Styela clava: one gene and its partner. The protein of the gene in region 1 interacts with the protein of each later gene in a biochemical or structural test. Links are inferred from orthologs where the notes say so. Each region holds a gene or a part of one and is shown on either strand. Other genes may lie near its edges. The genes, in order: DDB1- and CUL4-associated factor 1-like and uracil-DNA glycosylase 2-like.

Evidence for each region.
Region 2: of the proteins of DDB1- and CUL4-associated factor 1-like (region 1) and uracil-DNA glycosylase 2-like, one has a biochemical effect on the other in vitro, tested with the Homo sapiens proteins (2 studies listed by BioGRID, with this or other methods). The link is inferred for Styela clava from reciprocal best matches to the Homo sapiens genes DCAF1 and UNG.

The regions. Positions count from the first base shown.
Region 1 is NC_135250.1:9,076,824-9,093,150, reverse strand, and holds DDB1- and CUL4-associated factor 1-like, read right to left. Parts: upstream 8,334-16,327; 5' UTR 8,311-8,333; intron 7,480-8,310; 5' UTR 7,460-7,479; coding exon 3,149-7,459; 3' UTR 2,260-3,148; downstream 1-2,259. Other genes in the region: 5'-deoxynucleotidase HDDC2-like, read left to right, coding at 1-48, 491-593, 1,056-1,124, 1,265-1,403, 1,489-1,565. UniProt on the Homo sapiens protein: Acts both as a substrate recognition component of E3 ubiquitin-protein ligase complexes and as an atypical serine/threonine-protein kinase, playing key roles in various processes such as cell cycle, telomerase regulation and histone modification.
Region 2 is NC_135252.1:16,924,660-16,940,417, forward strand, and holds the start of uracil-DNA glycosylase 2-like, read left to right. Parts: upstream 1-11,262; 5' UTR 11,263-11,410; coding exon 11,411-11,494; intron 11,495-12,690; coding exon 12,691-12,864; intron 12,865-13,314; coding exon 13,315-13,485; intron 13,486-13,985; coding exon 13,986-14,097; intron 14,098-14,726; coding exon 14,727-14,905; intron 14,906-15,285; coding exon 15,286-15,426; 3' UTR 15,427-15,758. Other genes in the region: BTB/POZ domain-containing protein KCTD7-like, read right to left, coding at 2,060-2,255, 3,540-3,733, 5,372-5,567, 7,073-7,209, 7,759-7,908. UniProt on the Homo sapiens protein: Uracil-DNA glycosylase that hydrolyzes the N-glycosidic bond between uracil and deoxyribose in single- and double-stranded DNA (ssDNA and dsDNA) to release a free uracil residue and form an abasic (apurinic/apyrimidinic; AP) site.

The DNA of each region.
Region 1 (16,327 bases):
GTCAATCATGGCAATGACAATGTGTGAACCAGATTTACGGAAGGACCAGTAGGTATAGATTTTTGCTATCAACCTTATTTTTCAAGCAAGCAGTAGAACCCATTGAATTACTGAAATTCTGCTGTATGGGAACTCTTATAAATTGCTAGTTCATCTTTGACTCCATGTGCGAACTTATATAATTAATAGTTTTATAAAAAAGGTGTAAATTTGTGTTATTCGCCATGTCTAAAATTGGTCCTTGTTTCCTATGTGTTTAATCATCTACTCTGCCCTGATCAATAAATCTACATATGGCCTATTATTGTTTGTAATTTTAAAATTTACAACTATTATAGTGTTTCATGGTAATGGTCATACCAAAAACATCAGGTTAAACATAAAGCTTTGGAGCCACATTTTGAATCTAACACGTGAGCCATTATAGTTTCAAACTAGCTACCCATTCCTGATTGTGAGTAATTTATGATCTTACATTTCTTTTTTCTAGTTGTATGAAACTTTGCTTGGTTCATGACATGGCAGAATGTATTGTTGGAGATTACACCCCGTGCGATGGGATTTCGAAAGAACAAAAATATACGGAAGAAACGGTATGTCGAGTAATAATTCAAATATACCAGCATGTGTGAAACATCCTATTGGTTTTTGCCAGCAATCCTGCATCAATATGGCATTGCCCACTTCAGCTCCCAACTCTTGAGCCATTTAATAAACAAAACTCGTGACCGAGAAACCTTTTGTTTCAGGCTCCTGACTCCAGAAAAAGGAACTTTTGACCCCAGCCCTCAACTCTGAGAGGACCAAATTTTACTTTGGCATGAGTCCGTTGTGATTTTAAAATCCCTAGTTTTCATGAGAGGTCTAAAATTTTGAAATTTCTACTTCTGCAAACTCCAGATTTCAATTCTACTGTGCTAGTGCCAACTCTCCAAGCACCTATGGTCTGCTGTATTACTATATTGACAACACAATATATTAGTTGGGCCCCTTCTATCTTAGGGATTCCACATTGTCATTTTTTGGCCTCATAAACGGTAACTATATTTATTCAGAATGCAATGAAACAACTTGGAGATTTGTTGCCTCAACATAATGCCGAAGAGATTCAAAGTTTATTTCAAGTGAGGCTTGCACATGATATTTCAAGTTTAGACAATACTCTTAATAATACTAAAATTAATATTGTTCAGGTATCAGCGCACTTGATGATATAATATGTTCTACTTACTAACTAACTTCATTTGTGTTTTGATATAAACAGGAATTTGAAGAGCAGAAGACACCTGAATCAATATTCGTAAAAGATCTTGATAGGTTGGATATGATTTTACAGGCTTATGAATATGAAAATGACTCTGAAAGGCCTGGTTGGCTTCAAGAATTTTTTGACAGTACGGAAGGTGAATTATCTAGTTTGATATGTGGCGTTTGTTGTGTTAATGATTTTGGCATTCAAACTAATAAAAAAATGAAATATTTTTTCAGGTTATTTTAAAACCCAAACTGTGAAAGATTTTGTTGCAACTTTAAAAGAGAAGAGGTCTGCAGAGGGAACGAAATGATGGCTCTTGGGAGGTCAGCACTGTTCGATGGATAGCATGACTTCTGGTGGCCGTGAATTCAACAGTTCTCCAATCAAAAGCACCTATGGCAACGAGATGGTATTCTCGATAGTACAGTTTTTTAATGAATAAAGTATTCGTTTTGATCTTTTGTTGGTGTACTTTAGATCAGTTAGCGGAAGCTTACCATCGGGTTTATGGTTGTCATTGCATTAGCAGCACCTACCGTTTTAAAAGCTCAGCTGCCCCTTTAAGAAATAGGTCGCATCTCTGTTGTGGGGGTCTGATAGATGTGTAACGATTTATATTTTATGGGGCTTATTTAGAAGTGTTCGGTTGTACAGCAGTTTTGTAATTGGATGCTCGCCACGATTAACGATTTATATTTTATGGGGCTTATTTAGAAGTGTTCAGTTGTACAGCAGCTTTGTAATTAGAGAATTTGGTGCTCGCCACGATATGACTCTGGCTAAGATGTACGAATCTACAGCAAAGCGTTGGCTGACGCACTATGACAGATCAGGGCAAAATTTGTTTCAAAGGGAATCTTAACTAAAACTTGCCACCAGATGGCCTTTTTCTGGGTCATGTCAACCAGTTAACGAAAGATTCTCTGCTAGTCGTAAGAACCGTATTAAACATAAATTAAATATTATTGCTCCTGAAACAATATTTGAAAATTGTCAGTCAATAATGGTGTGATGACTTGCCATACTTTATTTTAAATAACTTCGAAGACGGATGAATTACAACACTAATATTTACAAGTTTGTGACACCACCTCAAAACCTGTAACCAAGTTTGATAAAGCAACACATTTTTCCCAAAGAAATTTAATATTGACTCAAATTTGGCATTTGCATGTATCAGAGGAAGGAACTATGATAATCTACATTGAAAAGAAAGAAAAAAACAAGAAGATTTAATTTCAGTTTAGAGGAATTTTAGCAGACACACTATTCATGATTGATCATAAAGCACTTTATATTCAGATGGTAAAACAGCAGTGACAAATACATAGAAAGAAATTAAATTCAAAAACCCTTCACCATTCATTAAAATTATACTGACAAAGAAAAGAATCAGGCCCACTACTGAGTCAGACTTAAAAATTTGGAACTTCTTGATAATTGGCATAAGAAATACAGTGATTGCAGGAATGTGTGACTCAAGACTGACAACAGGGATAATTAATAAAGGGGAACCAACATTGTCGCACTCAGTATTTAATGCATTGTTTCAAGCAGGGATGGGAAAGCTACAACATACTCTAAGTGTCTTCAGCTCCTAACCATTTATTTTCTCACACTTATAATTTTTTAACACTGCAATCAACCCCTTCAAGTGTATACATATTTTCAAAATCTAACTTTCAAGAAGTTTCAAGTTGAATATGTATGATCAAAAGTTTACAATATAATTTGAAACTCCCATATCATAGCTTCGAGTCACGATTTTGCAAAAATGCATTTGGGCTGATGTTCCATATCACTGGCCATACCATGAAACTTCAAGGAGCCCTCGTGAGGAAAGATGAAGCAAAGTTGGAATACACTGATTGTGATTTAAAACCAGCTCTGGTTTCAAGCAGCCCATTCTTCATCATCTGTTGTTTGCCAATCACTTGATGAATCAATGATATCGAAACTGATGTCATCTCCACTAGAATTATCATTGTCATCACGAAGCATATCGCTAAGCCGGTCTAGATCATGATCCTCACCTTGCGAGGACCCATCGTCACCATTAGAACTACCAGAAATGCTGCTGCCATCTCCGTCACTCTCATTGTCCTCATCGTCAAAATGACTCTCAACGTCTTCATCATCCTCATCTCCTCTTGTCATACCAACTTCATAGAATCGACACACGCTCATGGCCGGTTCACGCCATTCCTCATCTTGAGCTAACGTTTCCACGATAGCAACACTGCAATCCTTGCTATCGACGGCAAGATCATAGATCTGATGTCTAACAGCATTGAATGCCAGTTGCTTGTATTCGAGTGCATCGAAAGTACGAAAAGCTGACATCAATGACTTATTTATATTCTGTTCTTCACTGGTATAAGTGTCTTTGGTTCTGACTGCGTAAATTATGGTTCCTCCGCTGTTAAATGTAAGGTTACATTGATCAAGGGCAGGTATTGTATGAAGAAGATGATAGTTTCTCAAGTCCCAGACTTCGCTATTAATAACAACTTGTAGACCATTTGGATGGAATACGCCACTAATTGTTGTATTAAATTGATCGAATTTGTGAATTGGCAACGTGTGAGGTTTACGAACATCCCATAAAAGTCCATCTGAAAGAATAAGTTTATCATCTGGAGAAAAAGTCGCACGATTTTCCTTGTAATAACAACACATATCTTCTCGCTCAAAAGTGTCTAAAGCACTTCCAGTATTTACGTCATAAACAGTGGCCTTGTGTTCTTTTGTCCCAATGATCTTATCTTGGTGAAGTTTTGAAAATTCAGCATGGTCTATGTCTTCAAATGTAAACTTATGCTCAAGTTGTGTGCCTAATGAATGAAGACTACAGTTATTGGCCCAAATTGATTCTGCAGTAACTAGTATTGAATCTCCGTTACGAGAGGGCTGCAGAGCTGAAATTGGCATTCCTGCAACACCTTGTATTACTTGATCTTCAGCTGAATAAAGATTATGAATAACAACATCTCCTTGATAATCCCCAAGAACTATTTGTTCATCACCTGGCATGAAAGCAACGCTACAAAATGGTACTTTTCTGTCTTCTGATCCTTTAAAAACATATCCCGGTTTATAGCGACTGTAAACAAGTTGTCTGTCACACACTTCACCCCCAATTCCTCCCCAGCGAGGGCAAATTCCCTCACGAGAAACCAATCTTTTCATGACGTTTGTTGATGCTTCGACCCTATAACGTGGATCTGGACAACGATGTTGACTGAACAGTGAAAATTCTGGAACTGTGGCAACAGGATTTCGACATTGAGCATGTTGATGTTTAAAATTTTCTTCAATAATGGAATTCAACGTTGGTGGACTTGGTGGTTCCTTACTTCGGCAGATCAAAGGCTTTGGCTTTACCGAAACAATCCCATTCTGTGATAACTTAAACCTTTGTTGGCCATTAGAGCCATTGTAAGCAGACAAAGGATCACTTTTACCTTTCAAATGTCTCCTACTGGTGCTTTGGTTTGGAATGTTGATAATATGAGATGAAGTTGGTGTGTCTCCTAATGCATGAGAACCTCTTGTGAAACTAATTCGCCTGTTCACACTAGAACTGGCATCACCACTGCCATTATTTCGGTGCTCAGATATTCCTGAGGAAGCTGCTCTTGGTCTGGATTTTGGCGTCGAAAGGATGCTTTTTTGATTGTCTGCGAATAAACAAGCATCTCTAGCAAGAATTTCTGCTGCATTATGCAGCTTTGACCAAACTAGATGATTATGAATCATTTGAAGAACTTCTTTATTTTCATATTGCATGTGCGTTTCAGAAACAATGTGTGATATACGAATTGCATCTAAATCCAACTCCAAATTCATTGGCCTACCAGAAACTTTTTCTAAAAGGGCTCCCATACATTTGCAAAATTTTGTATGCAATCGTTTTTTGTAGTGAAGAACTGGTTCTCTAGCAACAGATTGTACTTGTCCACCAATAAAAAATGGCAATTTTGACATAATTTGAGCAATTGGTTTATAATTTGATAATCCCAATAGCGCTTTGCATGCAAAATATCTCACTTCATCTGCATGCAAAGCAGGTTGATTTATGACTAGTAATGAGAGAAGAACAGAAATACCATTATTATATTGAACATATTTCCACACCATTTCCCTCTTTTCTGTTTTAGATTGTGAAGATTTGGAACGTGGTGTATCTTGTGGCCCAGGTGTTGATTTACGATGATCAGTTGCATAATCCCTCACACAATTCACAATTACAGCAAGAGCTGACTTTTGTGTTTCACCTTCAACTGCGAACAGAGTTCCCCCTTTTGCTATATCCAACATTATACTAATACCGGTAAATTTTTTATTGAGAGTGTGATGTTTACACAAAGTCAATTGCGGTGATGGCAAGAGAGTTACCACGGCAAGTACATCCAAAGCTGAACGTATAACTTCTATTTGGCCTGTGTAAGTCACCCAATCACATGCAATATCAATCACTTTCACCATCAATGCAATTCCATCTAATCGATAAAAATTGAGAACAGGTAGCCAGTTACTCATAGATCGAAAGCTGGCATCAGTAACTGAGATTTCACCGAGAACTTCAAGATTTTCAAAGAATTGTTCGCGACTGGAAACCATTGGTTTATATTTTGATACAGATTCCACAATGGTGTGTCTTTCTTTGGATTTTGGAATCGATTTTTGAGCCGAGCAAACTTTAATCTGCAAATGAGCTTCAAAGTATTTTTTAAGTGCTGCACAAACTGTTCTTGTTGTTTGGCGCATGAAAAGTCTATTGGCGTCTTCATCAGGATCATAGTTATCATCTAGTACATTAATAATAATTTTTGACATACTTATCATATTCATAAGGCAACGTAATCCACTCATCTTATCAAAAAGCTGTAAAATCACTCGGAATGAGAAAGAAAATGAGAAGAACAATGCCGCATGAGATCGACCAGTTTCGTGAGAGCATTCCAGCAACCAAAGAGCATATTTCACTAAATCACTCAAAATACGAGCAGGCAGCTGACAAGCTCTTTCCATTGCATCTTTTTTGTATGCTAAGTAATAAATACATAGGGAAACACCTGTTGAACCCATTGATGGTCTTTGAACGGATAAAAGATTCTGTATTCCATTTAATTCAATGAATTCCGTGGCTACTTTATTGTGACACAGAAGAGATGCCAAAAACTCTAATGCTTTGAATATTAGTAGTCCATCAAATTTCTTTTCTTTTATGTAAATATTAATTAATTCTAGTGCTTTGAGTTCAAGGAAAATTGATAACAAATCCTGATACTCTCCCAAACATTTTAGAAAATCAAGAATAAATCTTTGGCAGACTTCTGAATGTAGAGGAGGTTCAAGGCTGTAACTGCATCCTATCATCGCAGGCATTTGCTCAGACCAGCTACTGTTACTCAGGTCATTGTCGTAGTAATCGCTCGTAAAATGCATTTCGCCATTCGGTGCTGGGGAATGTGTGCTCGTATGCGGTTTTTCACTGAATATTCTTTTTAGTTTTGGGGCATCTGAGCTGTTTGATAACTTGCGTTTTTGTGAGCGAGATTGTGAAGAAGTCTTAACTCCGATAGAAGAATCAACTTTAAAAGTAGATCCATCACATTCTGACTCTGGAAATTTACCAGGTCTAACATGGTTCCATAATCTTTTGAGCAAAATTGATATCATTCTTATATATTCATCATTAGAAGTTTTCTGGGGTTCTATGGCACCAACAAGCAAACCTGTTGCATATGTCCTTAGTGGCTCATCAGCGTCTGTTACCCATTCAGAAAGGAGTTTGATTAACCATTCTTTTTCTTTGAATAACGTATGAGGCTCTAATCCAGGTAAAGCGGCTAAGAGAAATCGTGCAGAGGCTAACGTAATTTGAGATGGATTCTTTGGATTTGTTGTCACACGAAAGTAAGATGATGTAAGTTTATCCATGAAATCATGCGACTTTGAGAGAGAAACAAGTAACTTTCCAAAAACACATCCAGGTTGTGCATATTCAGGATGACGCTCATCAAAAGGGTCAGGATCACCCTTATGAAATTCTATTGTCTCTTCTTCGAAAAGTTTTGCGCAGTCAGTCAAAAATGGCACTGGATCATAATCGCTTGATTCGTGATTTGACTTCCATGCTTCAACTAATTCAGAAAACTGCTTTTCAGCATCTCTAGCACTAGTAGTAGTATTTTCCATTACTTATAATCAGTATAATGCTGAAAATCAAATATATGTGACTGCATGTATGTATTTATAAATGAGTTATGGTCACATAATATTCAATGATAATACTGATTCTAAGTTCATACAGTTGCATTGGTCATTTACGCTCTTTTCCTGCAGTATAAGTATTGCTACTTAATAAGAAAAGGCAGGATGTAACAGGAATACCACAAAAAGGTAGAAGTGATTGACTGACAGATTGGCCAGATGTAATTTATAAATATAAGCAGGCTATACAACTGACATAGGCTAACTACGGCCAGCAGGCCAAATCTGGCATGTTGGATAACTCAATCTTGCCCGCCTGGTGCTGCCACAGCCAAACTAAAACCAAATTTTCATGTGTCAGCTCAAAGAATTTGTTGAAATTGCAATTGAATTTAGTATGACACGAGGCTTATTGTTTTCCACTTTCGCTTTTGTAACACTGTAAATATTGTTCATAAAATGTAACTTTTACCGGTACGTCACACTTACATCAGTACATGCAGACATGGCTGCCGGTCTAGGCAGCTAGGTGCAGATTTTATTACCCAGGGCAAAAAACTTTGCTCACCCCTGCTATACAACAATGTTAAAATTATACCGGTATCATATCCAAATCATTTTTTTTCAAATACAGAAATACATAGACTACTAGACTATGAATGATTTTAAGCAAAATTGCCTGTTTTTACAGTAAAACGCCAAGTTTTTTGCCAATATACCGTATCCTGTGAATTTATTCAATGAAGATCTTTTCAGAATAGCCTACTTGACACTTTTTTTTTCATAATTTTCAAAAGCCCTCACACTGTCACAGTATTGCAGTATATTAATCATACCTGTTATTTTGTCGTTGCATGCGAAATTACATTATGATTAACCGTGTATCAGATCAGCCATGTGCTCATATAACAATAATTCATTTCCTTGCCTTGATTTAAAAAAATATAGGATTCCTATCAATTTACATTCGAAAATTGTACGCATACCGGCATACTACTTACTAGTATACATACGGCACGAATACAGTACTCAAAACTCAGCTTACGCGATCAGGTGCGATACAGTGAGATGTGAGCGATGTGTGGCTCATCGTGCTAGAGGCGCAGTTCTTACCACTTCATGGCAGCTCCTGCCACGAACGTACCACGCCGTCTCCTGCCATGGTTTTATGGCGCTATTACCGGTACATTTACAAATTCATGTACCATATTTAAGTTTATCATGCGAAATTATATCTACTTAAACCCTAACCCTAACCCCAAATCCATCCAAACTGTATCCATAAGAAAAACATTCCAACTCACTAAATATTTATCTCCATCAGCAGATTAGGGGCAGCCCTGCTATTACAGCCGACCTGCCGTGGTTACGGCAGTAAAATTGGTGGTATTCGATTTGCTGCCGTAACCACGGCAGCTCGCTATTGGTTTGTGGCAGCTAAAAAGTCAGTCGCCGTGGGTTTGGTCTTAGTGGCCGTGGTTTGGAAATCCCGCCATGGTTTTGCGGCAGCTGTAGACGCCACAAAATACTTGAAACTGCACTTGTCGTGCTAAGCGTCGGTCGGTTACCGGTACGGCTTTCTCCACCATCGAGTCCATGCTTCGGAAAAACAAATACCTGACTTGTCCCATACCTGACATGGAATGGTAACCGGACGAGAGGACGTGGATCGCCATATGGTTGAGCCGTCAAATCGGCTTTCCTCTGTCCCGAGATAAATATGTAAATCTTATCCTCATCGTTGATTGTTCTGGTGTTCGACATCCGCGATTGGTGCGCCATTACTGTACTGTACCTAAAAGGTCTGAGGAAAGAGTGTTCCCAAAGATGAAAAGTTACAAAACACTGAAGGACTGAAGAAGTTGATAACATTTCTCCCGACAAAGATGGAGTGGTTTAAGACTAGGTCCCCAAAAGACTGTGGCCTAAAAGAAAGAAGTGAAATTTCTTCCGACCGATTGAAGTCACTAAAAAGTAAAAGTGGATGAAATTTCTTTTGACGCAAGATGAGGTGGTTGAAGTGCGCCGGCGGTGGCGCGGCGGTGTGGCTCAACGGGCTAAGCGTTAGGAATACGCTCGCCACCGCACCTCTAATTACTCTGCGTGGGTTCGCAGGTTCGAATCCCATGCAGGGATGGTTATGTGCGAGAGGATTGCTGGACTCCTCGCCGTCGTTGGGTGGTTCACGTAACCGCTGGTCGGTTACGGCTTCCTCCACCACCAAGTCCATGCTTCCGAAAACAAACAATACAGTAAAACTAATCCCATACCCGACTTGGAATGGTAACCGGACGAGAGGCCGTGGTTCGCCATATGGATAAGCCGTCTTATCGGCTTTCCTCTCCCCCGGGATAAATATGTAAATCCTATCCTAAGTGGGCTAATTCGCCATGCAATGGCGGCGAAAGGACTAAAGCAGCGGTTCGCAAACTTTTTGTTCGTGCGGCGCCAAATTATCAGAAAAAAATTCTCGGCGCACCTACCGTGTTTCTCCGAAAATAAGACCTACCCTGAAAATAAGAAAGTCTTACCTACCCTGGAAAGTCAATAACGCGAATTAATATTTTTAAATAATTTTTTGATTATTATTTTGATTTTTATTTATAAGTGAATGGATATCGGTTTCCATATTATGTATATTTGAAAATCTCGTAATTCTTTATTTTGTAATTTTGTTTTTGATAAATGAAAATAAAAGACACTCCTCGAAAATAAGCCTGAGTGTTATTTTTGGAAGAAAGTTGAAAAAGACCTAGTCTTATTTTTGGGGAAACACGGTACATGAAAAAAAATTGCTGCGTTTAAATAAAACTAATAGTTGTGATCGTTAATGTGCACTTTATATCTTTCCCCGAGCATCGACCTCCTTGTTTACTTCGTGACATTGGCAAATCAGCAAGATGCAAAAAGTGACGTAACAATTCTCCCTTTTCGCATCCGCTCAGACACTTTTCTCACTCAGACAGATTTTCAAGCGTGGTCGTAAACATTACCTCGTTTTCGCGTTTTTGAACGCTATTCATTAGTTTTCAGTGTGTTTCGAAAACTTAAAATATAAATCAGATAATTCAATGATTACCCTATCTTCCTAGAAGTTTTAAATTAATTGCAGTAATAAAAAATTAGTGTATAAATAGCTGTGATAAACTAGGTTAAAATTCTTAATCGCTACTTTTAAAAAACAGATTGTTGTATGCGATGAATCATAATGATGGTTTGAAACACATACCCCATTTTGCAGGCGCCAACTCGCAAAAGCACTCTTGAAATAGCCCCGAAATCACTTTTCGGGGGTCAAATCCACAGAACCTGATTCCGTATAGAAGAGAGAGAGAGATATTCATTATTTTGTCAACCAAAATACGAACAGTCATCAATAAGAAAAAAATGTAACAGAAATAAAAATTGCTTTGGTATGTTTAACCGTAGTAGTATTAATTTACGCTTCAACCGGTTTATATATTTACGGTTTATATTTACGGTTTAACACAATTTTGTTAATTTTCGGGCGCACTTAGCAAATCGTCGCGGCGCACTCTTTGAAAACCGCTGGGTTAAGGGTTAAAACTGAGGTTTTTTTTTTGTTCTAAAATTATTTTAGTGGTGATTATTCTACTTAAAACTGCAATAGAGTGTTTTTGATACTGAACTTCAGTGGGCGCCGATTTGCAAATTTCACCTGAAGAAAAAACAATATAGGACTGACGATATTACATATTGTATTTATTATAGATATTTTATATTTTGTATTCGAATTTTTTTTGACATGAGTGATATTTTTAGTATTTCAAATGAAAATCGGGCAGACATGAGAAAGAGAGTTGACCTTTTGCCCTTATTCTTTGTTAGGCCCACATATTTACAAACTTTACACAAAAGTACTTTACACATTGACGATCACAAATTTGCTACAGGGGTGGTGACTCCTCTGAGGTCCATGGGCCGGGGCCACGGCCTATCTAATTGGGCCACATGGGCCGTGGCCCATCAAGCTATGGGCCGCGGCTCATCAGAAAAAATTCAATTGTCTTACCAAAATTTTCAATTCTTACAAAATTGTCAATATTCGAACCAAAAAAAAAATCGCGGGATGCCACCAAACCTTTTTCTTACGATAAGCCTTTACATAACAAGAGAGCTATGCTCTATATGGACACATAGCGCCACCCAGTGGGAATAATTTTGATGAGGTCATAACGAAAAAAAAAGAAGTCGGCCTTCTGGAGAAAAATTTTATCTTCAACCACTAAAAATTTCAAAGCAATTGGTCCAGTATTCGAAGAGAAAAGCGATTTTTTCAAAACGTGTCAAAGAACAAGGACACTAAGAACAACAATGAGAACAACAACAACACAATATTGAAACGATCGCTATGTCCACTACGTGTCCAAAAATAAAGCAAAATACTAAGCTACAGAAAAGGATACACCTGAAGTATGTGTACCAGGTTAGGGTTAGGAACTTAGGACAAAATTTTGTTCAAACTTTTCACATTATAATTCTATTATAAGTTCGGGAAGTGGGTAGGATTTAGGTAGGATTTACATATTTATTAGTCTTTATTATTTCATCCCATTACACAACTTGATGGGCCGCGGCCAATAGCCTGATGGGCCGAGGCCCATTTCGATGGACCGTGGCCCCGGCCCATGGGCCGTAGAAGAGTCACCACTCCCACTCCAAATTTGAGTTTTATTTGAAAGCAGCTTTTTATTTTCGTGTGAGTGCGTAGTAAGTTTTTTCGCTGATAATTTGGCGCCGCACGAACAAGAAGTTTGCGAGCTGCTGCTGTGCCTAATGTATAGAGAGAGAGAGAGAGAGAGAGATTTATTGCCACAAAAACAAAATCAACACTAATAATTATAAACATAATACAATAACGAAAATATTCCACAGTAATTGATTATTGCTTTGTGCGGGTCGGTGTGCAAGACCGATTAAAGTCATCTAGGCTCCCGACCCTTGTGTATGTGCTATATATAAGTTCATCATAGGTGGATACAAATGAGATCAAATATCAATATATAAAAAATAAATACGAGGAAAAAAGGAAACGAGTCGGCAATTTAATGGTATTATGGAATAAATATAAAGAAGAGGTGAAGAATTTGAAATACTGAGGAATTGTATTTGAACTATAAATCAAGTGTGTATAAATTAAGTATGTATAACAATGAACATGTCTAATATATTTAGTTTTTACTTTTATTGTACATAATATAATTCAATATACTAAAAATTGATGAATTGTATGCCGATGCGATCAACACCTCGTCATTAAACACTGATGGAATGGACATATGAAAAATGAATATTGGATTATTTATCCTATGATTGCTCAAATGGTTATATACTTTTGGTTATATTTTATTATATTATCCCATTAAAAAAAAAATAAATAAAGAAGAGGTGGCGTATTATATATACGCTTTGGAGGTGGCCGTTTTTTTTTGGGCGATACGTATCATAGGTTTCAAGTCATTCTAATGATGAAACGTTGACGAAGGAATAGCCTTTGGTGGAGGGAAGTCTGGGAATGGTTAATGTAGTGATGTGTGTAAAGTCTCAACTCGTAAAAAAGGATTGGATATGGCAGGTGAGATGAAAAATCTCACCATACCAGTACCATAAATACATGTGGATTTATATATTTATTAATGGATATTTTCCCCCACAGTAGTGACAGATACTGTAACTTGTAACTGGCCAGACTGGATTCCATGGCAGGTGCACGCCCGAGGGCGCTAGCGCTCCGCAAAAATGCACGCGAGCGAAATCAATTTTGCACGCCGAAAATTTGCAATTGCTCACCAATGTAAATCGGTTTGAATGGTTTTAAAATCAATAATCCAGTAATATAAAGATGCCAAAATATTATAACTCCACAATTGTCGACAAATACCAGCTTGCAAGATTTGGTCTGATCGAAATATTGCGAAGCAAAAAGACCATGGACCTTTCCCCAACCTTTGACCCGGGAAAAATTCCTCTCATTGTTACGTCCTTTTTTGCATCTTGCTGATTGGCCAATGTCACGAAGTAAACAAGGAAGTCGATGCTCGGGGAAAGGTCCATATCGTGTTGAATGATAGGAAATAAAAATCCCGTGAGAATAGTTATGGACGAAAAGATCGCCTCCGCACCAATGGCCAAGTACGGCTCTGATTCAGCGTATTTTTCATACAATAATTTTACACGAATGTACTGAACAGTACCGGTATCTAAAGTTGCTCAAACACTCCCAAAATTAGTGACAAAGTATGAAAAGAATGTTTGGGGTCAAAGGTCAAACGTCCATTTTGCTCTAATTTGACGTATTTTTTATCCATTAATTCTACCAATGACATTAAACAACATGATGCGCAACTACGGCATTTTTGGCCGAAGATCGTATCCGATAGCACGCTCCAATGCACATACTTGACGAGACGAAAACGAGCGGATGTGTGCTGCTTTCAAGCATAGCACGAATGGTGTTCGTGCCGGCTTTGACAGTTGTTGTCGATTTTAATGATATTTTGGAAAGTTGAGGTAAAAAGAAATCGGAAAAAGGTAAGGTAAATACTATTGTTGTATATCACACCCGGGCATCGCACTGTTCAGTACATGTGGGAAAGCCAGCTTTTGTCAAATACTACGAAGTTATTAATTCAGTACGGTACGTAGTTGCCCATTTGCCGAAATTGCATATTTACTTACCCCTTATGGTTTCAAATAGTTCATGCACCTCCATTTAGATTTTTTTTAATCAGTGAGGATTGAATCAAAGGGTTAACAAGTTCACCTAACATTTCATTCATACCGGTCTATATTGTATAGTCTGATCTCTCAAGTATATGGAGTCACGAATGCTTGTAATTTTCTGACTAAATTCCTTCATTAGTTGGTTTATATACCAAATTCAGTAAAACATTTTTACATTAAACATGAGATATTGGATTTATTAGCTTTTCCATTCTAAATCATATAGACTGCTTCATTTATTCTTGACGAAAATTAATAAATCTCCTCTCCTTCTTCAGATGTGAATGTGGACAAACCTGTCTAAGCATTGTGAGACTCCTGCAGCACAAGAGGCAATAGCAAAAATAGTATGTATATCAATCAAGAAATTAAGCCGACATAAAGCAAAAGTTTCAACTAATCGTCTAATCTCAATTTCCTATTACTTATTCACAGGACAACTACAGCAGAAGGGGAGATATCAGAAGTCTGGCGACATATCAGTGACCGTGTGATTCCAAGAAATATAATTAGAGTACTCCATAAATGTTTGCAATAGAAGAACAACCTATGGGAGGCATGCAAAGACATTTGACCCTCCGGTAGAGTTGTGTATGGCACCCACATCCTGCAGGGCTCAAGGAAAATATCAAAAAATTCTAAAGCGTGAGATTGCATAAGCGGTCCTATTTGTAAAAAGGCACAAAACATGCCAGACATACTTAAAACAGCGTTGGAAAATGAGGATTACGGCTAACTCACTACACCTGTGTTATATTTGGTTCATCAACTTTTGGTAGTACTATAGAAGAAATTCAGGAAAGGGTATAATCATGATTCATGATAAAATCTGTTACATTTTGGACAACTTCAATCTAGACCAGGGATGTCAAACTCGCGGCCCCAGAGAACTTCCAGTGCGGCCCTCGAACGCTTAGCAATAATTGTAATAATATTTTGGAAGTTTTTTTCTATCTAAATGTAATAGATTTTTCAAAATTGATTATTCACACAGAAAACAATTTACTGTAGTTTTGGAAAATTAATTTGTTTTTGTTCACATTCTGACCCAATTAAGAATACACATCAAGCTAGCAAAAGAATACTTGAATAAAACACTTGAGTGATTAAATTAAACGCAAAGTACATGAAGAAGGTGGCATTTTCAAAGAAAATGAGAGTTGCAATATTTCTGCATTTCACAAAATTCTGAAGCACATTGTTTAATTTGTCATATTTCCATCAATACAATGAAAAAACACATAAAGGTCAGCACTCAATATCACAAATTCGAAGGGCAACTTTGAACAGAAAATTTTCATGTGTTTGTATATTAAAATAAAATTATACAACGACTTCGTTACTAAAAATCAATATCAATAATAATTCAAGCAATCCTATGCCACGCAATGTGGTGCGAAATGTCTTTTCGAAAAAATCTGTCATGTGTTTTTTTTGTATCTATACATGAAATTATAAAAATCACTTTTTTGCATTACTGGAATTAATTTTCGCAAAGATCCAGATTAGCCCATGATCATGTGACCTCGTTAGTTAGAGTTGGTACTACAAAATCATTTCAGCCTGGCCTTAGTATGCTGGTGACACAAAAAAGATACCAAACGTCAGGACAAATGTAATTAAAAAAACATTGAGTTCATACTGTAGTATTTTTGTTAATTTTAGGTCCATATATTTAAAATAGGTCATTTTTAGTGTATGTATTATTCTTTCCTTATCCAAAGTTTGTTCAAAAAGGATTTTGATGGATGTACATAGAAGTTTATGATTTTTTGTAATAAATACAGTAACTTGCAATAATAGTGGAATGCAAATATTAATATGTAATTGCATTTGAAATTAAAGAAAATAATGAAACTTAATCCAACTGTTTAGTTGCATCACAACATATGTCACAAACTAAAACTATCTTAAAAATATCTTTCAAGTATACATTATCAAAAACTGTTTGCGGCCCTTTTTACAATTTCCAAAATGCAATGCGGCTCTCGAAAACCCATGAGTTTGACACCACTGATCTATTCTAGACGATCCAAGCATTGCTTTGGGAAATAATATCACTTCAATCAAATTGAAAAAAATCTTGCTATATTAAATACAAAATCGTTG
Region 2 (15,758 bases), on another chromosome or scaffold:
TGAAAATTAATATGATATTATTGTTGACAGCCCATTTTCACCCAAGTTTTGTTCGCTCTTGTGATTCTGTAATCAGTTTTATCAATTAAATTATGGTATATTATGCTGCTTATGCAGTCGACATAAGACTTATATCATAGTTATCATTGGTGACAGCCCACTTATATTTGCGCCCGTGAACTGCACCGGCGTTCACAAAAGCTCTATATGGAACGCAAACACGCTTTGCAACCCGCAAGGAAATAAAGTCTAAAAAGTGTTTTTTATTCGTCTGCTTCATAGAGAGCATAAAGGAATCTAAAAAGATTTGCAACTCAGAGGTGCAGACGTGCGGTTTTAATCCAAACTGGCTTTGGAATTTCTTACAATATTGTCCTTTTATAATGTCGTGAGACCCCAAAGTAGACATAAAGACCAGTGATGGTTTAGGTTTAAAGACATATTAAAACAATTCAAGACAACGCTGGCAAAGAAGTAGGTATGTCAAAGAAATTTCCATAGGGCGAACTTCATGTGAAATAATTTTTATCATTAGAATGCATTCATAGTACGAACAGACGAGAACAAGAGCCTGCTAATTGGTTTTAAACTGGACAGTTGACACCACACCATTCCCAACATGCAACTGAATCAATATGCTTTTTATGTATTTATTGAAAGAAAAGATTTGATCAATACTCTGACGAATAACTACTGCTCAATCACGATATTACATATCATACTTGATTTCAAATTATAATGAATTATTAAACTCTACACCAGCTAAAAACCATTCACAACGATCACACCGCCACAAGGATCAAATTAACCATCTGTGGTTGCACAGTGAAAAGACATCATCAAGTGTAAGTGCAAATGGAAGTCATTGGGAGGAATGTTCATTGAATAATAAAACGGGGATGTTGCCGAGAAGAGCATGAAGACTTAGAGCTTAAATAAGCGGGCTAGTTGCCCAAATGGAGACACAAAATAGCCATCCTACCTAAATAATGATTTCCTTCTTTTTGTCTAACTGGGGTTAGAGGCAAGTTTATTTTGCCACTGTGTGATACATCAATCTTTGTTGCTGTATTCAGAAATCATTATTAAACACTCGATAAGAGAAAATGATATTTAAAACCAACCATTGGATGCCCTCAACATGTATAATAATCATATTTGTACATTGCCTTTATAAACTGTTATGTACTAAGTGCAACACTTGAGAAATATTTAATAGTGTGTGAACCTACTTTTGAAGTATGCATGCTGGCGAAAATACCATATAAAATTACAAATTTAAAATATTTGGGAATCCCATTTAATTATCAAAAATAATTTTGACATCTAAAAAAATTATATAGCTACAGGGTTCCGCGAAAAAGAAAAAAAAGCCTAAAAATTTAAAACACTTATTATATGGATTGCGTTAGGCATAGCAATAAGCAACAATGTGGAAATACACGGCGGACTGAGACAAGAAAACAGAATAATTGGCAGCAAAAAAATATATATCTATATATAAACAATACCACGCAGGCTTATAATATGGAATGATATCTAAGTTTGGAAATCTTCATTCAAAAATAACAGCAGTGAAAGCAAGCATAAGTAAGGTTGTCCAAAAATTTATGTTGAATGAAATTTGAAATTATTGGTATCCCAACTTGTTTTTAACAGTCCAGATACAGATAAACTATTGCTTTTGCTTAAAAACATGGAAATTTCTGAATGAAACCATGATTTTCCTGAATAATACAGCCATTCATTTTGGCTACTTTAATTGTAATGTGAATTATAGGCAGAATTAAATGCTCAGTGCGGAGCAGCATTATTTGTAATGAAAATATATACTTATTTTATTTATGAAAGTAATTAGGAGAACAGCATTATTTTATATACGTACAACTAAATATCCAAATATTTGGACTTTTGGATAAATACGGTAAATCACTTGAAAAGTTATTTTTTACAATTCTTGCAAAAAACCCACACCTATGCTCGATTAAAAAATATCACAGGATTACACAGTACATAGCACGCAAAATAAAATAAAAATTACCAACTATTGATGACAAAATTACCACCACTTGAATTTGAATTCATAAATTGGCCGTTTACAATAAAATTGTCCTATTAAGTGTTTATCACACACTCCAATGCATTGACATTCAAGTGAATATCCTCGTTTTGCGACGTCATCCTTTATACAGTGTATAAGGTCGTAAACATCGGGAGCTGCAAGCCATGGACCGAACGAAATACAAACATCACAACTACAGAAAAAAAATTCAGATATTAGGTTATTATTCAGTAAGGAGAGTTACCAAGAAGTATGAGCAATCATGATATAAAAATTTCGACTGCCATTCATTTTTTATTCATTTGTCTTCTACCTGCCAATACTTGACAGAATATAGCAGATCATCAGACATCCTCATTATTAAAATTAAAGGGGGTAGGACATAAAGGAGTTGCTAACTAAACCAAAAACACAAATGGGTACTCCTGAAGTATGCGCACCAAGATGTCGCATAACCTGAACTCTCACCTGGTACACAACCTGAGTTCAGGTTGTGCGCCATCTTGGTGCGCATACTTCAGGAGGTCTGAAATTTGATATAGTAACCTTTATCAAGAGGATGAATAATATAGCAGTTGTTTTTTATCAATTTTATCGCATTTAGAGCAGCTGTAAACAATAGCCACATGCCAAGCTTAGATGTCTGTATGAAACCACAATGCCATGTAGATACTTGATGACGCGTTGAGTCATGCACTTTTCAATGTACAGAAAAACTTCCTCATTGTACGTTAGGTTGAACAAGAGACACTTTCGCTCATCAAACGAGGAAGTGGTTTTTATCGTGAGTGATGATTTCCTGACATATGTAAATCATTATTTCGGACCAGACTAAGTCAAAATCTAGGTATCTAATGTAACCTGCTAATCTGGTTGTGACAAACCCACAGTAAAACTGATACTACTGTTGGATGATTTTTTAGTATTTCCTCAATAATGACCGGTACATTATAAGGAAAATTAAAAATGGCTTTTTTACACTAATCCATAATTTTTTCTAAAAAATCTTAGTGTGAGAAGTTTGGTCAGGATAATGCCTATTGTCAGAGATATCAACTATAAAAATATTTGGATTTAACTATTGCATATTACCGGAATATTGTTTCTGCTGATATTATTTTTGGGAATTTTACCCACCGTAGCTGGAATCTAGAATGTCCAAAAAATGTCCGAAAGCAAGATTTTCAATCGTAACTGAAAAAATCACGCAAACGTCAAAGTCTTCATATTTGAAATTTATTGAATGGCTTTTTTCAAATATATCTGAACAATAATAATTCACTAAAAATGATGTAGATGCAGTTCTGCGAATGAACTTGTATTGCATAGAACAGCAACCTTCTAAAAGCAATATAAGTACATTTTGGGTTTCCCACTTCTGCTCTGCACAAGGCCCTATACAAGCAGTCTCAACTGGAACTTGGATGAAATAAACAATTCTAAAAAATTCCAATTATAAGATCTTAAATCTTCTTACCTATGATTCATTTGAGATCCATTTGGATTTCTTTCACCAGGCACAGGAGGAAGTAATGAATTTTCATATGCAGTTATTGGTGAATCTTCTTTGTAGACACAAACAAGAAGTTTTGATACTCTATCTGGATGAATGGTTGCAACTTGCTGAGCTTTTTCAATTAATGCATTGATCTTTATATCATAACTTGGCACCTGAAAATAAAAGTGTAATATTTTAATATTTATAGCATATATCGCTCTTCAACTGCAGTTATTATGGTCTAGCAAAGGGTGTTTCAAACTGGGATCCAGTCACTCTGAGATTGCCAAAGAGTAGTTTCCCTGGGAGCCTTGAGATAACGTCTGCACCATTATCATTCATGGTCCCTACATTACTTTAGAGAAAATTGACAATGATTTGTTTAATTATTTGAATGCAATGCATTTATTCTTTTACCTTCGTTTGTTGATCTTTTAAAATGAAACATGACACATAAAATAACTGATGTGAACTCGACTAACGGAAATATTGATACTTTAATGAAAAGCAGGGGCCACAAGTCTCTGGAAGGGGATCATGAAACATGGAAGAACCACTGGTCTAGCAACTAATGAGCAATAGGTTACATGCACATAAATATTTCTGTCAATGCACAGACTACTAGATGAGTTATATAACCACCTATATTCTTATCATCCCATATAGGCAACAATTCAAATCGATTGAAAATTTTTGTAATGTTTCAGAACAGATAGAATAGATATTCCATATTAAAGGATTTTCATCAAGTATTTTAACATCTATTCTTTCTCTGTGATGCAATGGCTTGCATTTACGGTAATTCTTCCCTGTTGTTAAGATATCAGTTGGAATAGCCTCACCCAAAGAGGTGTTATTGAAAAGGTTATAGCAATAATACTTAGAATAAATACATTAGATAAGGCAGGAAAATTTAGTACGAAAATCAATATGTATTGGTAAACCATAATAATCATATTGCATTCTTCACAGCAGGAATAAAATCAATAAATTTTGCTCAAAGGAGGTTCATTATTTGTATACAAATCATTTTCAAATAAACAATATTGCGAAGACTCGAAATTAATTTTAGCTAAATGAAGGAGTAATAGATCCCAGAAGCAAAACAATGCTTAAATAATCACGATTTGTATTAGAAAACCAAGCAATTTTTTTGCCAGCACGGACTTGGTTAGCAATAAAATTTTGACCGAAGATGACAAATGTTTTCAAAGTGCAGTGCCATTCAGCAATTCGAAACCTAACTTTATATAACAGATGGGCCAATATTTTCTTAGTTCTGACTAATTATTGTCAAAATGATTGTTATAGTGTAGCATGAATCACCCTAAGGCCTAAGGGCTATGATAACTGTAAAAAAATTCTATGAAGTCCAATGCCTGAAGCACTCACATAATACTGTATCGTAAACAAACAATTACACAAATCTTCAAATGAATAAACATGGTGCTGCTAACAAGAGCTAATTATAGCGCTTTGTAGAACTCATAAAGAATTATAAAAAAATGATTCTAGAAACTTTGTCCATCTTAGTATTGAAAATTTGAAATAGATTGTTCTATTAGATATGAAGAAAGTGATTTTTCTACAACAACAATTTTGCAAAACGATAAATATGTACACTCAATGTCCAATAAGTTTCATCACATATTCACTAACTCTAACGGTTTACAGAAACATAAAATATATGTAAATTGGGAATAGAATGAACTCAACATAACAGCTTCTCCACTGTTCATAGTTGATTTAATTTCAAAATGATACACCATAATATAAAGAAATAAAACAGACAAATTCATCTTAAAACTAACCTCATCAAGAAATAATCTCCTTATTTTATCACTTGCAACAGGACAAGTTGAATTCAATGCAGAAATGAGGGGAGTAATATTATAATATTGCGCTTCTTCATAAACATCCATCACAAGTGACAGTGGTGGCATTTTATTTTCACGAAGATAATTCAGAATATGGATGAACAATTTTCCATCTCGGTCAATGAAATATCTAAAAAGTGTGTGCAGAATATAAACAATATAGACCTAAGGTTTACACCTTGATGCACTTTAAGAATATGGGCCAAAATTAGAAAAAAGAAGTCTAAACCAATAAGAGATAGTTTAATATTTTTGATGCGTAATATCTTTGCTCCAAACAAGACACTACACATTCCCCAACTTGTGAGTTCGTAAAGGCCATAATCATCTGGTGTAAAAAGATAGCCTCATCAATATATATAATTTGTTGGTCAAGTGGTTAGATTCAGAGTTATATATTTACACACAACATACCGATATATAAAATTGATCAGGTATATGATATACATTGCTATATATTACACTGTTTATGCATTGTTTAGTCCAGCGCTGCAATCTAGTGCAATACTATCGCCCGTTATTAAAAGGTCTGCAACATGATTGATTAGATGTCTGATTTATAAGGTAACAATTTGCATGTTCATTAATCATTCATAATATAACATGCCATGCTGGCAGGAAAAAGAATTGAAAGTTTGCAAGATATTTTGTAGAAAAGAAATAGAAATTGATTTATTATACATTTATACTCAAGCGTACTAATTAAAATGTCATACTGTCAGTTGTCACGTTCATTTGGTTTTGAAGAATTGAAAATAATCAATTTCACAGTAATGTTAATGAAAATACAGGATTATTCTGCATTGCTTATATTATGTGAATGCAGATTACAGATGGAGTTCGCATGGGTTCAACACATAAGCTTTAAACAAAGTACAGGGTATGTGGATAAATACATACCAAATTGAATGGTGATTATTAATGATGAATGAAAGAATTTTAAAGGTATATACTTCACCTAAACCATTGCAAAATACTTGGATTCTTATTTGTCAAGGCATTCTATTGAAATTTTCAGCATAAAACTATTTTGAACTCAATTCAGAACACTCATTTTATTATTAAATATAGATTGTTTTTTCATTCACAATGGAATGCATATATTCAAAAATTCATAATACCATTACTCACAGGATATTAATATTTTTTTTTAATTTCTCGGACATCATCAGATGGAAAATATTAATAATTTATTTCATTTCCTACAATATATTCTATTTCCGATGAAGATAAGAGATAAGAAAAGTCATATTATTTATCCCAAAATATTACAGTTATTGTTTTATTTGCTAAAAATACTGTACTGAAAGATTACCGTACATTCTGTTGAAAATAGGTTGATTAAACATGGACCTTGCTTCAATTGTCTACTTTGGCATTAAAAATACTTACCGGTAGTCGGTAGATCAATATTGGAAATATTTTGAACAATTTTAATATTGAATAAACTAGAAAAACTCAAAGGGAACCACATTATTCAATAAAAAAATCCCAATTCTCTGATTGAATCAACTAATTTGAATTTGCCCACTCCATCTTTTTACTCAGAAAGTGATTGAATGGCTTAATTGAATCTCAAAAACCTCGACTGCATTTGATAATTGCACGTATATTTTTTATGAATTATATACTAACCTTCCTTGATCATCCATTGCTAAATGATGCCGACCACTAAACATAACTGCGAGCATTGAATCTGGATATTTCAGAAGAGTTGATAAACTAGTTGTATGTATTGTTCCTCCAATGTTAAGTGTGATTACATTTTGAAACTAAATTAAAAAAAAATCATGAAAATGGATATTAGGAGCAATGAGCCAAAGGCATAATTACAAATTAGAAACATTCAAGAATACATAATCTAACTGAGATTATTTAGAATGTCAACGTAAACTATTTACTTGAAATATATGGTTATATTGGTCCAATTGGGCACTTAGTTTGTATCAGAGCTAAGTTGTCTGAGAAAACTTACATCAGACTCTCATTCAAGCTCCCCGAAACACTGTTGAGAAAAATTTGAAATGCATCCCGACTATGAGAAAACCAAATTTTGAGCATAAAACTTGGCATGTGTAAGCCTTCTTAAAGTTTTAATTGAGAACGCTAAAGTCAGTTTTTTTGTTTTTAACTTTAAAAATCTGAAATTCCTCCAAAATTCCATGGATCCATTTCAACTCTGCCCTGTCTACAACTATGAGGTATTGGAAAATACAACAAGGCTCGGACTTCAAAGCCCTGGTTCGTATTAGCCAATACCCCATCATTTGTAAACAGTGTGATCCACTCAATATCACAGCACACCAAAACAACATGCATACCTGAATACACTCGTTTTTTTCATAAATGCCATTTCCATTTAGTTCCCTTGAAGATGAAAAGGAAGGGTTAGGAACATCAACAATTTTCAACACATTCATTGACGACGGCTTTACGCCAGCCATGACTGACAGAGGGTCATGACTTTGCATAGCTTTATCTAATACAAATATTTAACTAATCTGTCCAAAATCAATGTGAATATTAGTATAAGCCTTTTTCTTTTACAGACTATATATAGACTCTCAGGATTAGAACCTTTTTTTTCTCGATTGGAAGCATCATATAAAAGCATATTTTTATTCAAATGGGTTGGTGTATAGAGCTTTGTTTTGCAAAATTTTTGTTTTTCGTTCAGTGGTTTTTCAAACATCAATTTTAACAATACCTAGTTTTGTTTTTAACACCACTTTTAATAACAGAAAAGTCAACGAACGTAAGCAAAAGAATAAATTCAATACGGTCAGAGAATTAAACAAATCACATTCAGTTCACTTTAAATTATTTGTAGTCATGACAAATGGTACCTAGCAAAGGTCTTTGCTCGTGGTCCCGAAGCACCATCCCTTGGCCCTCCTAGTTAAAATATTCCGATCTAGATGAATAAGTTTTTAACAAAATCATATCAAAGACCCCAATCAGGGATATAATCCAAACACGGTATGTCAAATTTCACTGAAAATAATAATAATAATAGTAATAATACTTGGAATCATAAATTCCTGCCAGTCAGGACTTGAAATATATCAAATAATATGACAACCAATTTTTGCTGGTATCTGTTAATTTAAAACACCTCGTTCGAAAAATTAAGATTGTATGCTCAAATATGACTGTATCATAATAAAGTTTATCAATGTATCCCATGCTTCACAATTGGAAAAGCACTTTAGAAACAGCAACTTTTAAAGTGTTATCAGGTCACTAAACTATCCAAACAACTACATGTTGCAAACTATTTACGTTTGAACTGAGGAAATGCAAACATGCATCATTGCATGCAAACAAAAAACGCTGTGAATCATTTCACTTGCTATATAATGTCCAGGAAATAGAACTGATGACTAGTAGAAAGCAGATGTTTTCAATAACATACATAAGTAAAGTTAGAAAAGATGAATCAAATACAAACAACCTATGATACGTCAGTGTCACATAGACCATGATCTTGGCAGTCAGTTCATAAGAGTAAGATCACATACATTTTCCAATTAACCGCACTGAAAAGAATTTGTATAACAAACAATTTTAAAATATTAATAAAAATGACTACGGTAGGTTTCACTCATGTTTATATGTTTCCACAGATGATAAACGAATCCAAAATTCTCATAGGAATAAAATATCAGTTGTAATAAATTCTCTTTAATCTCGAATCACATGGGAATCGATGACATTTATAAACAAGTTATGGATGATGAGTAATGCATAATCACGTGGATTTAAGATATTAGTTTCATAAATCAGTAATTTGCAACGTTTTGTATAGATCACTATAAAATTCGAGGAAATCTATCACACTATATGAAGTAAAATATTTTCACTACTCAAAATTATTTTGAGTTAGACAATATGACAAAGATAAAACTACCCCTTAATTCCTAAACTCAAAGTTACAATAAAGCCAGATCGAATTCTAACTTGATGAAACATTTTGTGAACGACAAATATTGATAAAATAATATTTGTATTTTGACAAAGTAATGGTACTAATTTATATTGAAATTGGCCAATCCGTTCTGTTAAATGACAAGCGACCCCACCCCATACATAAAACACATACACACCCTGTTTTCATAGTTTTGAAAAGATATTCATTCTATCGGTATGTTTGATGTAAATATTTTAGATCAGTCAAAACAAATCAAAGGCAACATTTGTAGTAAGTATTATTCCCATGTACATAGAAAATTTTCATTCAACATGTTTTAAAAACACTAGAAGCTCTCAATTTCTTTGAATTTAGTTTGTCATTTCAATACTTTGAGTATATGCCAAAAAACTGAACTATCACTCTGATTCGAGGTCCCAATATAATTCAATAAAATGAATCGGCAGTACTTCAACGGTATCTGATGAGGTGTAGAAATCAGGAAATTCACATAAATTTTAAAAATTATCATTATGAGCAAGGGAAGGTCATAGTAAATTCCTAAAAAATTATTCAACTTCTGAAAAATGTAGCAAAATAACATACAGACATTGCAATCAAAAAGTCTTAACTTTTCTGTGTTATTGTAATTCATCACCATGAATGTAGAATGATATCTACATGTTCTGTGTTGTTCAGGTCAAAATCAGAACCTATTTCTTACACTATTCAACTAAATCGTTCATGACTGTATTCCTAAAAGATTGCTTGGGTAGATGTCTTTTGAACAAAGTGATTACTCAGCTTTGTATCAATTTTGCACAGACATTGAAAATCTTATACTTTCATTTATTCCTATGTTTTTTTTTATATTGCTATCTTAAAAGTTCAGCTTGAACTCTAACATGGTACAGGAATGTTGCCAAAATTTCAAATGCTAAAATGAAGTTTCAACTTGAGACACAAAAGTATTGTAGTCTATGATTAATCTCACATTGCACTTCATTGAGGATCTATTTGCCCTCCATTATTATTATTACTCACTAATTTTCCCATCTGCAATTTTTGACTCTGTTTACATTAGGTGAGGACAAGTAAAGTTAGATCATTGTCCCACCTTCAAACTTATCCTATCATAACCCAATATAGGCTATATCTGTATATAGAATCATAACTGCATACTGGCATAAGGAAGGACCAAATCAGAAAATGAGTGGTGGGACAATACCACAGTAACAGGATAGTAGTACCAATTGAAGAGCTGATCAATTCTGCAATTTCAATCAATCATTTATTTCGGTTCTCTGACATCTAGACATGAACAACACAAAAAGTGAACATACAAAAACAAAATGCAGGGTGTGCATATGGTACCGTACCGGTACCTACCTGGGAGGCGAGCATAACTTAAAATAAGGTTAAAAAGCGTACAAGTACCGTACCGTACGTCCGCATATTTGCCCACACAATTTGAAGCAGATCTTTCTCCTTATTGTGCATACATGATGATCTTACTTTCCCTCATCCAGACATATCTGCACCGCCTGCAATGTCGCTCCGCCGGTGCTCGTCCATTAACGTTTCTGCAGCAGCACATTTACTTCAGGAATTGGAGGATTTTTCATTGAATAAGTATATCAAAAACAGCTCTATTCCGCCATATCGCGGGAAATCACATGCCGACAACCAATGAACATAGAGCTCCTTGCAAAATGCAGAGAGTGGGAAGCAGGAGTATAAGGGGTGTGTCTGTAAAGTAAACAAACACAAATACACGTGATTCGACCGCAACGACGCGTGTCTTTATGGATATGACGTCATAGTTAATAATCAACTTTTAGACATCGTGTTTTTTTTTGGCGGCAATCGTTCCCGCCGTTACTGCTTTATCCAACCGCAATTTTCAGCGGTTTTTATTCGCTCTTGTGGCAGAGTGGTGTGTGGAGCGGTGCTGAGTGAATTTCATTGTTCCAAATAAGACGCCTGGCTGGCACATAAAAGCCAGCTAAGGCGTCTTTTCCATTTCCAAAGACGCCGGAACCCAACCTTGTCCACAAACAAAAATGTCATCACAAAGAAAAATTTCGTCTTTCTTCAACGTGGCTCAGAAGAAGACAGGCAACTTGAAACGACCATTGAAAGAGAAGGTATCTTATTTACTTTTTTCAAATGTTGTTTCGATAATTAACCGAACATACGGTACAGGTACGGTACAAAGATAAAATGTATTTGAAATTGTCAGATCCGGCAGATTCAGAGATATTGATATTTCATGTCATGCTGTCATGCGCATATCTCCATACAGCTGTAGAATTTAAGTTAATTAATTAAAACATTACTGTTTTTTGTGTGAGAGTAGTCCAGTCCACAGCAGTGTGAAATCTGCAGGGATCACTATATTATAAATAGTAAAGTAAAGTAACAATAAAATTTGAATGCAGCAAACAATAGCAGAATAAGACAATGGTTTTTGTTACAGTAGGCTAGCATGTTGTTCAATCTCTTTCCAATATTGTCGCCTATCAAAAGCACCAACTCAAACATTTTCCTCCCTTTCTTCATCCCAGGATACCGGTACCAGGGTACTGGGATACCATAATATTGTTTTAATTCACTTTGATAAATCTATGACATGGTAAAAATGCTTCTTTTTGTAATTTATTATTTCTCTATCGGACTATCACACTGTAATTTTATACCTTTCTAATCTTCTGGCTAAAATGCAATCACTGAATCATAAGTTTTGTGGAAATGCTTTTTACTAATTTTTTTTTTGAATCATTGCTTCTGGTTGTATTTACAATTAGAAAATACCTTGAAAGAGGAGTAAATTGATAGAATTTGATACATAACATTCGTGTGTTTTAGGTCAGTATGGTCTTGTGCATACATCCCGTCTTCAGTATTTAGAGAGTATCAACTCTTTTATTTTGCTTTTACGAGACGAATAAACATACATGCTCTACATATCATTTCGTCATTTTTGAAAAATTCATGAACTAAACACTTTCAGACATTATGTTTTAGCCTCATGTTACACCATGATGCCACAATCAGCTATCTGACTATTAAAGCTATTAACTAAAAGAATCCTAATAACTAGCACTAACTCACGAAATCACTGCATCGAGGCTATTTGTTCTGTTGTTTGATCATAGCAGGTGGATATGTACCTAATGAGTGCAGGAGTGTCTTCATTCCTACATTCAGACATTTGCAGATTTGGCTATGGTTATAAAAAATATAACATAGCCAAAATCTATCTTCACTATATCTCATGTCTCTGTAAAATATAATAAATATGATCAGCGCATGTTCTGATGTTACACCATATGTTTGTCAGGAAATCTGTTCATCAGCAAAGAGACCGTTGACTGAGTCACCTAATAACAAACCAGTACAGACACATATTTCATTGAAGAAACAAACGTATATGGATTCTTTAGGTCTTGAAACAATTGGAGAGTCTTGGAAAAAAGCTTTAGAGCCTGAATTTCATAAGGACTATTTTGTTAAGGTTAGTCTTCAATTTATTTGTATTTTATTATGTTGTTTTTACAGTAATATTCGTATTCTGATATTTGTCGTCTAGTATCAAGATAGATCAGTGGTGGGCACGGTTTTTGGACCAGGGGCCAAAAATTCTGCCCCCTCAGACTGACTGGCCATGTAAGTGTATTGTAAAAAGTTAAATTTTATGAACAATATATACAGTGTTACAAAAGCAAAAGTGGAAAACAATGATCCTTGTGCCAAAACTAATTCAATCCAATCTCAACTAATTCCTTAAGCTATTTTTTTAGCTAAAACATCAAAATTTGGTTTTAATTTGGTTGTGGCAGCATCAGGAGGACCAGATTGAATTACACAACGGGCCGTAGTTTGTCTGAGACAGATAATTCGCAAAAACATAAAATTAATTTTTTGTACTGTTGTACCTCATTGATATTTTCATTTATTACTTTAGTTAGGCAAATTTGTGACATCAGAAAGATCTTCACATACAGTGTTCCCTCCAGTGGAAGATGTTTTCTCTTGGACACAGCATTGCAAGTTGAAAGATATTAAAGTTGTTATACTCGGCCAGGATCCTTACCATGGTGAGGGACAGGCACATGGATTATGCTTCAGTGTCAAAGTAAGTTAATGTAGAAAAGAGCAATGTCATGAAGGTCTAACGACTAATGCAATGTTAGTAAAATTTCAGCCAAATGTAACAAAATACACCAAATGTCATATAAAGGTGTGTACCAAGGTTCGCCTATGAATTGAGAAAAATGGCAAATTTTGGGGCAATATATTGGACCCTGTTGTAAAATTATAAAATAAGAGCAATTGCTTTCATTAGCGAATTCTTACGACTTTAAGTACTTTAAAATTTAAAATCGATTGGCCTATATCGCAAGAATAAGTGGTTTTCACCAACAATAACTACCCCAGCCAGAACAATCAAAACATCTAGCAAAACGATCCAGACATGCATAGATTACAGAGTGTCCACTGTTTACAAATATGCTTGTATTCTAGAATATGTCTCGGCTATGCATTTTGTGTTATATTTCTTCAGTTAAATGATGTTATTAATCAAATTCAACGTTTCATGGTATCAATGTCTTATTGGTATTTGTTTTCTTTTAGAAACCTGTGAAACCCCCTCCTTCATTGGAAAATATGTTTAAAGAATTGAAATCTGATATTGGAGGTTTCAAACACCCTGGTCATGGAGATTTAACTAGATGGGCAAAACAAGGTATCGTACTCAAATAAGAAAGGAAGACCAATAAAAAATTGAATTCATCGTTATTTAGAGTCGTGCAGTTGAATTTAATTTCAGACAGTTTATAAAATGATAAAATTTAAATATGAATTCCCATTGGATTCTGTGTCCTGTGCGGAATCGCATGTTCAAAATTCCGTCAGGGATACCTATCTTCGAGAGGATTGCTGAACACCTAGTAGTAGTTCACGTTCGGATAACCGCTGTCAGTCACACCTTTTTTCAACGTCAAGTTCATTAATCCTAACCTGATAACTATTTAAGTATTTTCACATTCAACTTGGACTGGTAAACTGCCAAGTGAATATACCCCCTGCCCGTAATTTTCAGTCTCTTTACACAATATGCTCTGTTATTTATTGAATAAGCGAATATGAGATTGAGATTATATTTCCCTGTTTTCATGACCGCCTAATTTGTACAATATTTTTGCGGGCTCACTAGACAGGATAAAAAAAACGAAAAGTACTACATATCAGCATGCAATCTCTCCAATGTGATGTGTGCTTATGTGGGATTTTAACATGCTTTTTTATTTTATCCTTATACTACTGTTCTTAAATATAAGAGCACAGATGATTTTATCAAACTTTCCTTACTAGGTGTCTTGCTTTTGAATGCTGTCCTGACGGTCCGTGCTCATTCTGCTAATTCTCACAAAGACAAAGGATGGGAAAAGTTCACAGATGCTGTTATAAAATATGTCAATTCCAATTGTACTGGAGTTGTATTTATGTTGTGGGGATCTTACGCCCAAAAGAAAGGTGCAGTAATAGATAAGGTAGGAATTTTTTTTATTTATGAAGCTTACGTTTTGCAAGTGCCTCAAGGGAAGATTGGTTGAATGCCTTGGACATGAAGGCTTAGTGATTGTGATTGAAGCGTTAGACATAACCATACATCAGTATCGCAGGTTATAATCTCTGGTTCAAATCTCGTCACATATCCCAGGGTGAAATAAATTAGGTAGGCAATGCTCAACGGGAATGCTATTGTACAGGCCTTGTTCAGAGGAAAATACTTGAATAAGCATTGTATAATATAAATACAAATAGCCATAGTACAAATATTTGAAATATTCATTTGAGGTGATGCGAGACGTAATGATTGTCGAAGTTGAAAATCATTTTTAAACTCGGATTAATCCATATATGTATTCAGAAACGACATCACGTATTATGTTCTGTCCATCCTTCACCATTGTCAGCATACAGAGGATTCCTCGGTTGCAAACATTTTTCTGAAGCAAACAAACTTTTAAAAGATCAAGGAGATAAAGAAATTGATTGGTGTGCTTTATAAATATTGCTGCTTTTTATGTTCTTTGTACGATTTCATTCATATTTGTAACTTCTTTATTATCGGCTTGCTGCTCGACTCACTGCCATGTTCATGTAGCTTTGTAAATAGTTTGTTTTGTATGAATCGTAGTGTGCATTGTAATAAACTGCTTCATAGTCTCTTATATATAAAAATTCAAGACCTTGATCAATACCCACTAATTTCTCACCAGGGTTGTCAAATTTGGTAGTTTAAGATTCATATGTTCTTTCGAACTCCTGAGAGACCATTTTTCTGATGTAGGCCCTCAAGGATTAGTAAAAATGAAGGATCTCATAATTTCTGTGAAAATA